Linked DNA regions of Macaca mulatta. The protein of the gene in region 2 interacts with the protein of the main gene of each other region in a pairwise test. Links are inferred from orthologs where the notes say so. Each region holds a gene or a part of one and is shown on either strand. Other genes may lie near its edges.

Evidence for each region.
Region 1: the proteins of PLIN1 (region 2) and ABHD5 interact in a protein complementation assay, tested with the Homo sapiens proteins (3 studies listed by BioGRID, with this or other methods). The link is inferred for Macaca mulatta from reciprocal best matches to the Homo sapiens genes PLIN1 and ABHD5.

What each region holds. Positions count from the first base shown.
Region 1 is NC_133407.1:107,022,111-107,025,922, reverse strand, and holds part of ABHD5 (1-acylglycerol-3-phosphate O-acyltransferase ABHD5), read right to left. Parts: intron 3,012-3,812; coding exon 2,857-3,011; intron 1-2,856. UniProt on the Homo sapiens protein: Coenzyme A-dependent lysophosphatidic acid acyltransferase that catalyzes the transfer of an acyl group on a lysophosphatidic acid.
Region 2 is NC_133412.1:79,486,348-79,490,706, forward strand, and holds the start of PLIN1 (perilipin-1), read right to left. Parts: upstream 2,869-4,359; 5' UTR 2,711-2,868; coding exon of another isoform or gene 2,684-2,710; intron 1,009-2,683; exon of another isoform or gene 915-1,008; intron 707-914; 5' UTR 693-706; coding exon 648-692; intron 1-647. UniProt on the Homo sapiens protein: Modulator of adipocyte lipid metabolism. Coats lipid storage droplets to protect them from breakdown by hormone-sensitive lipase (HSL). Its absence may result in leanness. Plays a role in unilocular lipid droplet formation by activating CIDEC.

The DNA.
Region 1 (3,812 bases), on a different chromosome or scaffold from region 2:
AGAAAAAGCCAAGGGCGCCCAGGAGCAGTGGCTCACGCCTGTAATCCCAGCACTTTGGGAGGCCGAGGCGGGCGGATCACAAGGTCAGGAGTTTGAGACCAGCCTAACCAACATGGTGAAACCCCCATTTTGTATTTGTACTGAAAATACAAAAATTAGCCGGGCGTGCACCTGTAATCCCAGCTACTCAGGAGGCTGAGGCAGGAGAATCACTTGAACCTGGGAGGTGGAGGTTGCAGTGAGCCAAGATCGCGCCACTGCACTCTAGCCTGGGTGACAGAGTGAGACTCCGTCTCAAAAAAAAAAAAAAAAAAAAAAAAAAAGGCTGGGCGCGGTGGCTCACGCCTGTAATCCTAGCACTTTGGGAGGCCGAGGCAGGCGGATCACGAGGTCAGGAGATCAAGACCTTCCTGGCTAACACAGTGAAACTCTGTCTCTACTAAAAATACAAAAATTAGCCGGGCGTGGTGGCAGGCGCCTGTAGTCCCAGCTACTCGGGAGGCTGAGGCAGGAGAATGGAATGAACCCAGGAGGCAGAGCTTGCAGTGAGCAGAGATCGCGCCACTGCACTCCAGCCTGGGCGACAGAGCAAGACTCTGTCTCAAAAAAAAAAAAAAAGAAAAGAAAAAAAGAAAAAGCCCAGGGCAAGGCCCACAAGGGAAAGAGGATGAAGAGCAGAAGCTTTCCTCTAGTCACATTTTTCCATTCTGAGGCCCCAGAGACTGACTGGTCTCCCTTTCTGGTACCACTACCCCATTAACTCCAGCAAGGCTTTACTTCTCTACTGGCCCTCTCTTCCCATCTGTGATGAATTACACAGCTCCACCAAGAAATTCTCTCATGCAGTTGATTCTACATCACCTTCCCACCCCCAAGTGCAAGCAATAATGGGAGGCTGAGGGCATGGCTTTAAAGAGCCTCTCCTAGGTGTCCTCCCTTGCCCATCACTTCTCCTAACTTCTCTTCATACTTTATTTTTCCCATAATTGTTATTTGTGTACCTGTGATCTAGTAAAATCTATTTCTATTTCAGGGTTATAAAGATTAAACGAAGCTCTTAAGTAGTTTACCAGAGGAGGATCATACTGAGGAGTGGCTCTACTGGGGAGAGCTGAAAGACTGCAGGTAGGCAAAATGTGCCATCTGTAAGAGCACTGAGTAAAGTGTGGTCACCAATTCAACCCCCATACCCTCCTCTAAGTCCTGCAGTCCCACTGCTCTCCCCATCCAAAGAGAAGGCACTAGGGCAAGGAGGGCCAGGGGTGGGCAAAAGGGAACAGCATTTACAGTAACCTGCATGACAGTTAATCCCACACCCTCCTCCATACCCCCATGCCTCTTCTCTTTTCTTGCTAACAGAACCCATCTTTCCTTTCTTTCTTTCTTTTTTTTTTTTGACAGGGTCTTGCACTGTTGCCCAGGCTGGAGTACAGTGGCGCAACCTTGGCTCACCACAACCTCCATCTACCTCCCAGGTTTGAGTAATTCTTGTGCCTCAGCCTCTTCTCCTGAGTAGCTGGGATTACAGGTGTGTGTCACCATACCTGGCTAGTTTTTTTGTATTTTTAGTAGAGACGGGGATTTGTCATGTTGGCCAGGCTGGTCTCGAACCCTGGCCTCAAGTGATCTGCCCACCTCAGCCTCCCAAAGTGCTGGGATTACAGGTGTGAGCCACAGCACCTGGTTAGAACACATCTTTTCTATAGTATCAATTAGGCAGCAATGCGCCCAGGAAAGCAGGCCCTGGGAACAAATCATGATTGGTCCGTCACAGAAATTTCTTCTTTGCTGGTGGAAGGACTAGGAGGGCGCAGTCATAAGGGGAGGTTGGCTGGAGCCTTCCAGAGAGGACTTTCTTCCCTGACAAAGCATTATGGAGACAAGGACCATTTTCCATGCTTTTCTTTCTTTTTGCTCACAAATCAGAGTGCTGATTTGTGAGATGACGCTTAATGCCATGGCAGGCATCAAACCCCCGTGAGGAAAATAGTCAAGAAAATCACAGACACAGACCCAAATCCTAACATCAATGAGCAAGCAACCAGAACAAGTGCTAAAACCTATCTCCAGTTTGCTTATTAAGGAAATAATAAAAGGCCTTATAATTTAAGCCACTTGGGTATTCAGTTACTTACAACTAAAAGTACTCCAAACTCATACAAGTTGTACAGGGGAAAGGCAGAAGTTCGGAACATCATTATCTGTGACAATGAGGGAAGGAAATTCCCATGGCTATGGGGCTGAGACAGAACTGCTGAGAATCAAATAAAAGTCAGTCAGGGACTAAACATTGGTGCCTCAAAATATGACCAGAAATATACATCAGGAGTCCCTAAAATGTTGTGGAAAAAATAACTTTATCTATCCAACATTCTGACATAGATAAGGGAAGAATCTGTGAGTGTGGTGGTACCTGTTATCCCCCCCAGGGTAAATCAAATCAGGTTTTATGATCTACCAAATGGTATCATCAATTGGCCAAATGTTCTCCAATGCTCGCCAACAGGGCAACATGCTACACTTCTCCCAGGCCCTGGACTAGCAGAGGTCCTTATATCCTCCCCAAAACACTCTGCTTGTCTGGCTTTTTTTAGAGTGTTGAGGACTAACTAACCTCATCCCCAGCATTTCCCTCCTTTTCTGCTTTGCTAATTATTTGTAATGTTTACAACATAAAGAGTCCCCTTTGAGGAGAAGAGCCTAGTTGCATTCATCTTTGTGCAAGACATGGTGCTTATTAGAGGAAGAGGAGAAAAAGTAAGGGTTGAGGATTTTTTTTAACATTTTGACTAACAATAGTGAATTCTCTTCTGATAATCTACAAACATCTTGCTTTCCTAGAACATAAGCACTCACCAAAGGGTCCTGCAATCCTTAGGCCAGCTAAAGGGTTAAAGGGAGTCAATGCTGCTCCCAAGGCTCTGATCCAAACTGGAATTGGTCTGTCTTGATCAGCAAGGTCTGGTCGTTCAGGGAAGCCCCAAGGTTCCACTAAAATGAGATGATTAACCCTGTTGGGGGAAAGAACAGATTTAAGTTCATTTGGTAAAATCACCCTAAGTCTATAAAGAGCTAGCATGATTTATAAAACAAAGGTAGAATGAACCACCTTCAAAAATCTTCACGTTAAAGACTAATGGCGGAACAGGTCGTATTACGCTCTTATCCTGTGTAAACTTTCGAGATTCAGTAGGATCTAAGCGGTGTATGGTAGAAAGAGGGCTTTATTTTTAATATATCTAAATGTGGATAATAAAAGATGTATAGAGTACACAACTGTGTGTTCATAAAAGAAAAAAGGGCATTTGTTATTTAAGTTACAATCTGGGAGATGATGTAGATCACTGGCTACTCAGAAAAATCCAATGGTTCCATTTATATCACGGCTGACACTGCAAAAATGGCCAAAGATCAATATCTCATTCTTTTTTATTTATTTATTTTTATTTTATCTTATTTTATTTTGAGACAGAGTCTCGCTCTGTTACCCAGGCTGGAGTGCAGTGGCGCGATCTCGGCTCACTGCAACCTCTGCCTCCCAGGTTCATGCCATTCTCCTGCCTCAGCCTCCTGAGTAGCTGGGACGACAGGTGCCCACCACCACGCCTGGCTAATTTTTTGTATTTTTAGTAGAGACGGGGTTTCACCGTGTTAGCCAGGATGGTCTCGATCTCCTGACCTCGTGATCCGCCCGCCTCGGCCTCCCAAAGTGCTGGGATTATAGGCGTGAGTCACTGCGCCCGGCCCAATATCACATTCTTATAAAATAGCCTCAGATACCAACAATAGTTATCTCCTATGAATCAACCATC
Region 2 (4,359 bases):
GCAAGAGTTAGTATAAGCCTAACTTGGGCAAGGTAGATATTGTACAGGTCCACAATTTTTAAGTTTCACTATCTGAACTGTGTGCAAATCTGAGATGCCTTGCCAGGAGCCATCAAGCATTCCTAAAAGTATCAAACCACTTCGAATCACAGTGAAAACCAGGTCAGAGATAGAACACCAGACACAGGGAATATCCCACCCTTCCCCTGACACAGCAGCACAGGCTGTGCACCGTCTGACTCCGGGAGGTGCCATTTGCCATATGAATGATGCTGGAGACAAAGAATGCAGTGGCTCTGCACTGAATACACATCCAGCTGGGCGGCGGACAGAGCATGGGCTTCTGCGTCAGGGTTTAAACATAGTCATTCCCTTCCTCTCCACTCCCCACTGTCCCTAAGCCAGGATTTCTGTCCCTTTTTTCCAAGGTGCTTGGTTTTTAATAAGCGTCTTTTTTCCTCTCCCAGATCCTCCAACTGCCCTCTACAAAAGGTGGTGAGGGCAAGAATAACTAAGCCATGGTAGTCAATGAACTAGGATTATAATCTGGGCATATCTTGCTCTAAGTCCCCTGCATCTTCCCTCCCTGCTTCTTCCTCCTCCCTCAGTTGTCCATCCCCTGTCACAGATGAGCCCAAGTTACTTACAGGGAGGTCTCCATCCAGCAAGGTGGGGCCTTTGTTGACTGCCATCCTAGCTCTTCAAGCTGCAAAACAGAGTCCCAGGTCCCATCAGAAGCCCTCAGGCTTGAGCTCCACTGGGTCACTTCCCTACTTCTCATGGCCACCAACTAGGCCCAGGCTGCCTGGGGGTCCATTTGCCCTGAACGGAAGGCATTAGGTTGGAGGGTGAATGTCACACACAATAGCCCCACTCCTTAGGGTCCCATAGGAATGAGTTGCTCCGTAGCTTACTTGTCAAGACTGATGTTTCTTTCTTTCTTTCTTTCTTTCTTTGAAATGGAGCCTTGCTCTGTCGCCCAGGCTGGAATGTAGTTGCACAATCTCAGCTCACTGCAATCTCTGCCTCCCGGGTTCAAGGGATTCTCCTGCCTCAGCCTCCCCAGTAGCTGGGATTACAGGCGCCCACCACCACGCCCAGCTAATTTTATTTTATTTTTATTTTTTGTATTTTTAGTAGAGACGGGTTTTTTTTTCTTTTGAGATGGAGTCTCACACTGTTGCGCAGGTTGGAGTGCAGTGGCATGATCTCTGCTCACTGCAAGCTCTGCTTCCCGGGTTCACACCATTCTCCTGCCTCAGCCTCCCAAGTAGCTGGGACTACAAGCGCCCGCCACCACGCCCGGCTAATTTTTTTTTTTTTTAGTAGAGACGGGGTTTCACCGTGTTACCCAGGATGGTCTCGATCTCCTGACCTCATGATCCGCCCACCTCGGCCTCCCAAAGTGCTGGGATTACAGGCATGAGCCACCATACCGGCTAATTTTTGTATTTTTAGTAGAGATGGGGTTTCATCATGTTGGCCAGGCTGGTCTCGAACTCCTGACCTCAAGTGATCTGCCCACCTTGGCCAAGCCAAGAATAACGTTTTTTATAAGAGTTCAGGTTAGGAGGCCAGGCGCAGTGGCTCAGGCCTGTAATCCCAGCACTTTGGGAGGCCAAGGCGGGTAGATCACCTGAGGTCAGGAGTTCGAGACCAGCCTGGGCAACATGGTGAAACTCTTGTCTCTACTAAAAATACAAAAATTAGCCAGGCATGGTGGTGGGTGTCTGTAATCCAGCTACTTGGGAGGCTGAGGCAGGAGAATCACTTGAGCCCGGGAGGCGGAGGTTGCAGTGAGCTGAGATCATGCCACTGTATTCCAGCCTGGGCGACAAGAACAAAACTCCGTTTCAAAAAAAAAAAAAGAGTTCAGGTTAGGAAATAAAAAATGCAGGCAGCCATAAGAGATAAAAAGTTTTAGCTAAAGTCTTAAGGCTCTTTAATGAGGGTCCAAAAGAAACTAAAACAACAAGTTTCAAGCTGGGTGCATTGGCAAGCACCTGTAATCCCAGCTACTAAGGCTAACATGGGAGAATTGCTTGAGCCCAGGAGTTTGAGATCAGCCTGGGCAATATAGTGAGACCCCCATCTCTAAAAAAATAAATACGCAAGTTTCAGGTTTCATCTTTGAAAAGGCTCTGGGTTAATTCCTCTATTTCTCTCTCTCTCTCTCTCTCTCACTCTCTCTCTCTCTGTGTCTGTCCCTCTCCCCCTCTCCCTATCTTTTTTTTTTGAGACAGGGTCTCAATCTGTTGCCCAGGATGGAATGTGGTGACACAATCATGGCTCACTGTAGCCTTGATCTCCTGGGATCAAGGTACCGTCCCACCTCAGCCTCCCAAGTAGCTGGGACTACAGGCATGTACCATTATGCAGGGCTAATTTTTTTCTTTTTTTGTAGAGACAGGATCCCACTATGTTGCCCAGGTTGTTCTTGAACTCCTGGGCTCAAGTGATCCACCTGCCTCGGCCACCTGCAGTGCTGGGATTAAAGGCATGATCCACTGTTCCTACCCAATTCTTCTATTTCTAAGCAAACATATCTGTGTTCTGGAAAAGACAGTAGCCCCAGAATAGCTATTCTATACTTCTGGTATAGAGTATCTATACCAGAATCTCTCCCTCAGTAGTTTCCCTGCAGAGCTTTTCATCCCAAGCAAAATTCCCAAGAGGCCCTTACCTTCAACTTCTTCCCTTTAATGTTCATAAACAAGCCATGTAAGGCAGGTGCCCCAGGACCCCAACACTCACTCCAGCTGACCGCCACGTCAGTCTCACAGAGCCCAGGCTGCAGAGCGTCTCCTCAGGCAGAAACAATTCCTACCACTCCTGGGAGTCTTGGGCAATGCTACTAACGCCTCCCAGCTAGAGGAGGGCAGAGAGGAAGAAAGCAGGGTCAGCAGTTGTCATGGTTATCTGACCCAGGGTTCCCCGGGCATATCCTAACTTCTCTAAGGACATTTAGCAAACAAGGAGGTAGGTGGCAGAGCTGAAGGAGATCCAGGCTCAGAGGACTTAGTATTCCAGAGCCATGAAGCATCAGTTCTATAATGTTCCTGCCCTCAATTCACAAAAGTCTGCTTTCCAGAAAGAAGGTATAGATATACACATCGTTAAACTCAAAAGCTCTAAAGTTCTATATACCTCTGCAATCTTTTGGCTCCTTTTCTGTAGAGGGTCTTGTGGGACAGTTCTCAATCCATTTCTCTCATCTTTTCTTATTTACTAGCAAGAGTGAATGTTGAACAGTAAAATTTAAACCCACACAGAAGAGTTCATCTGAATGTATTCGTCTTTGATTATGGAGATAAATTGCCCCCAGTGAAGAAGCAACAGAGCCGGGAGTTGTTTTTGACAATATAGCCTTTGAGGGAGGATTTTCCACTTCTTAGAGTTCAAAAAAATTTATTGAACTTTACCTGGCCTAAGATGCTACCAGAATGAAAAGTGGGAGAGCCAAGTAGATTTTTGTTCCCCTAAGTCTGGATAAGCGACAGTGTTGACTAAGATTCTATCACTAATCAATAGCAAGACAACCAAGAACTAGCACCACTCAACCCTTCTTTAGCCAGGACTCAAGCACAAGCCCAAGTTCTAGTTCCTGGCTTCAGATATGATGGAGGACTATGGTGTAAGCCATAGCTTTCAGATTAACTAAGAAGGGCCTCTTTGTGAAAATGGACAATAGGAAAACAAAACGTATTTTCTTTGTTGCTGGTGGAATTACATGTATTGTTGACTCTTCTAAGTCACACACTGTGGGCAAGAGAAGAAAGAGATGGGAGTGGGGAATTATGAAAGATCCTTGGTAATAAATTACATATCTGTGATGCAATAAAGTAGGGAATGAGAAGGCAGGAAAGGGAGGAGTCAAGCGGGGAGGCTTCAAAGGAGTAATATGCTATACATTTAATACTTATTGATCCACCCTGGGCTTTTCAAATGTAAGGCAGTAGAGAGGACAAAGTATTTAAAGAAGTGGCCTCTGCCCTCACCTCAAGGTTCGGCACAAATCATCTGTGAGGCTGTGACTGGACAGCAACCTGAGCCAAAGGGCAGTTTTCAGCCTTCAGAGTAGTGGCTTTGGGCCAGAGGGAGTATAGGGCTTTGTGCCTGAAAGCTCTGCCAAATCAACTAGTCCTTTGGCTGCTTTAGCTGGGAGTGCAGAATGTGGGTGAGAGGTGAGAAGTGGTGAAAGGGCCTAGGAGAGTCCTGAGGGAAGACAGAAGTGTTAGTTTTCTAGCAGTAGCTTGCAGGGCATAGAGTTCTATCTTCTTTCCTTCTCCGTCCCTACCTGCTTTCCCTACCCCTCCACCACATGAGAGCAGGGACCTAGGTCATCTTGCTCACAAGTGG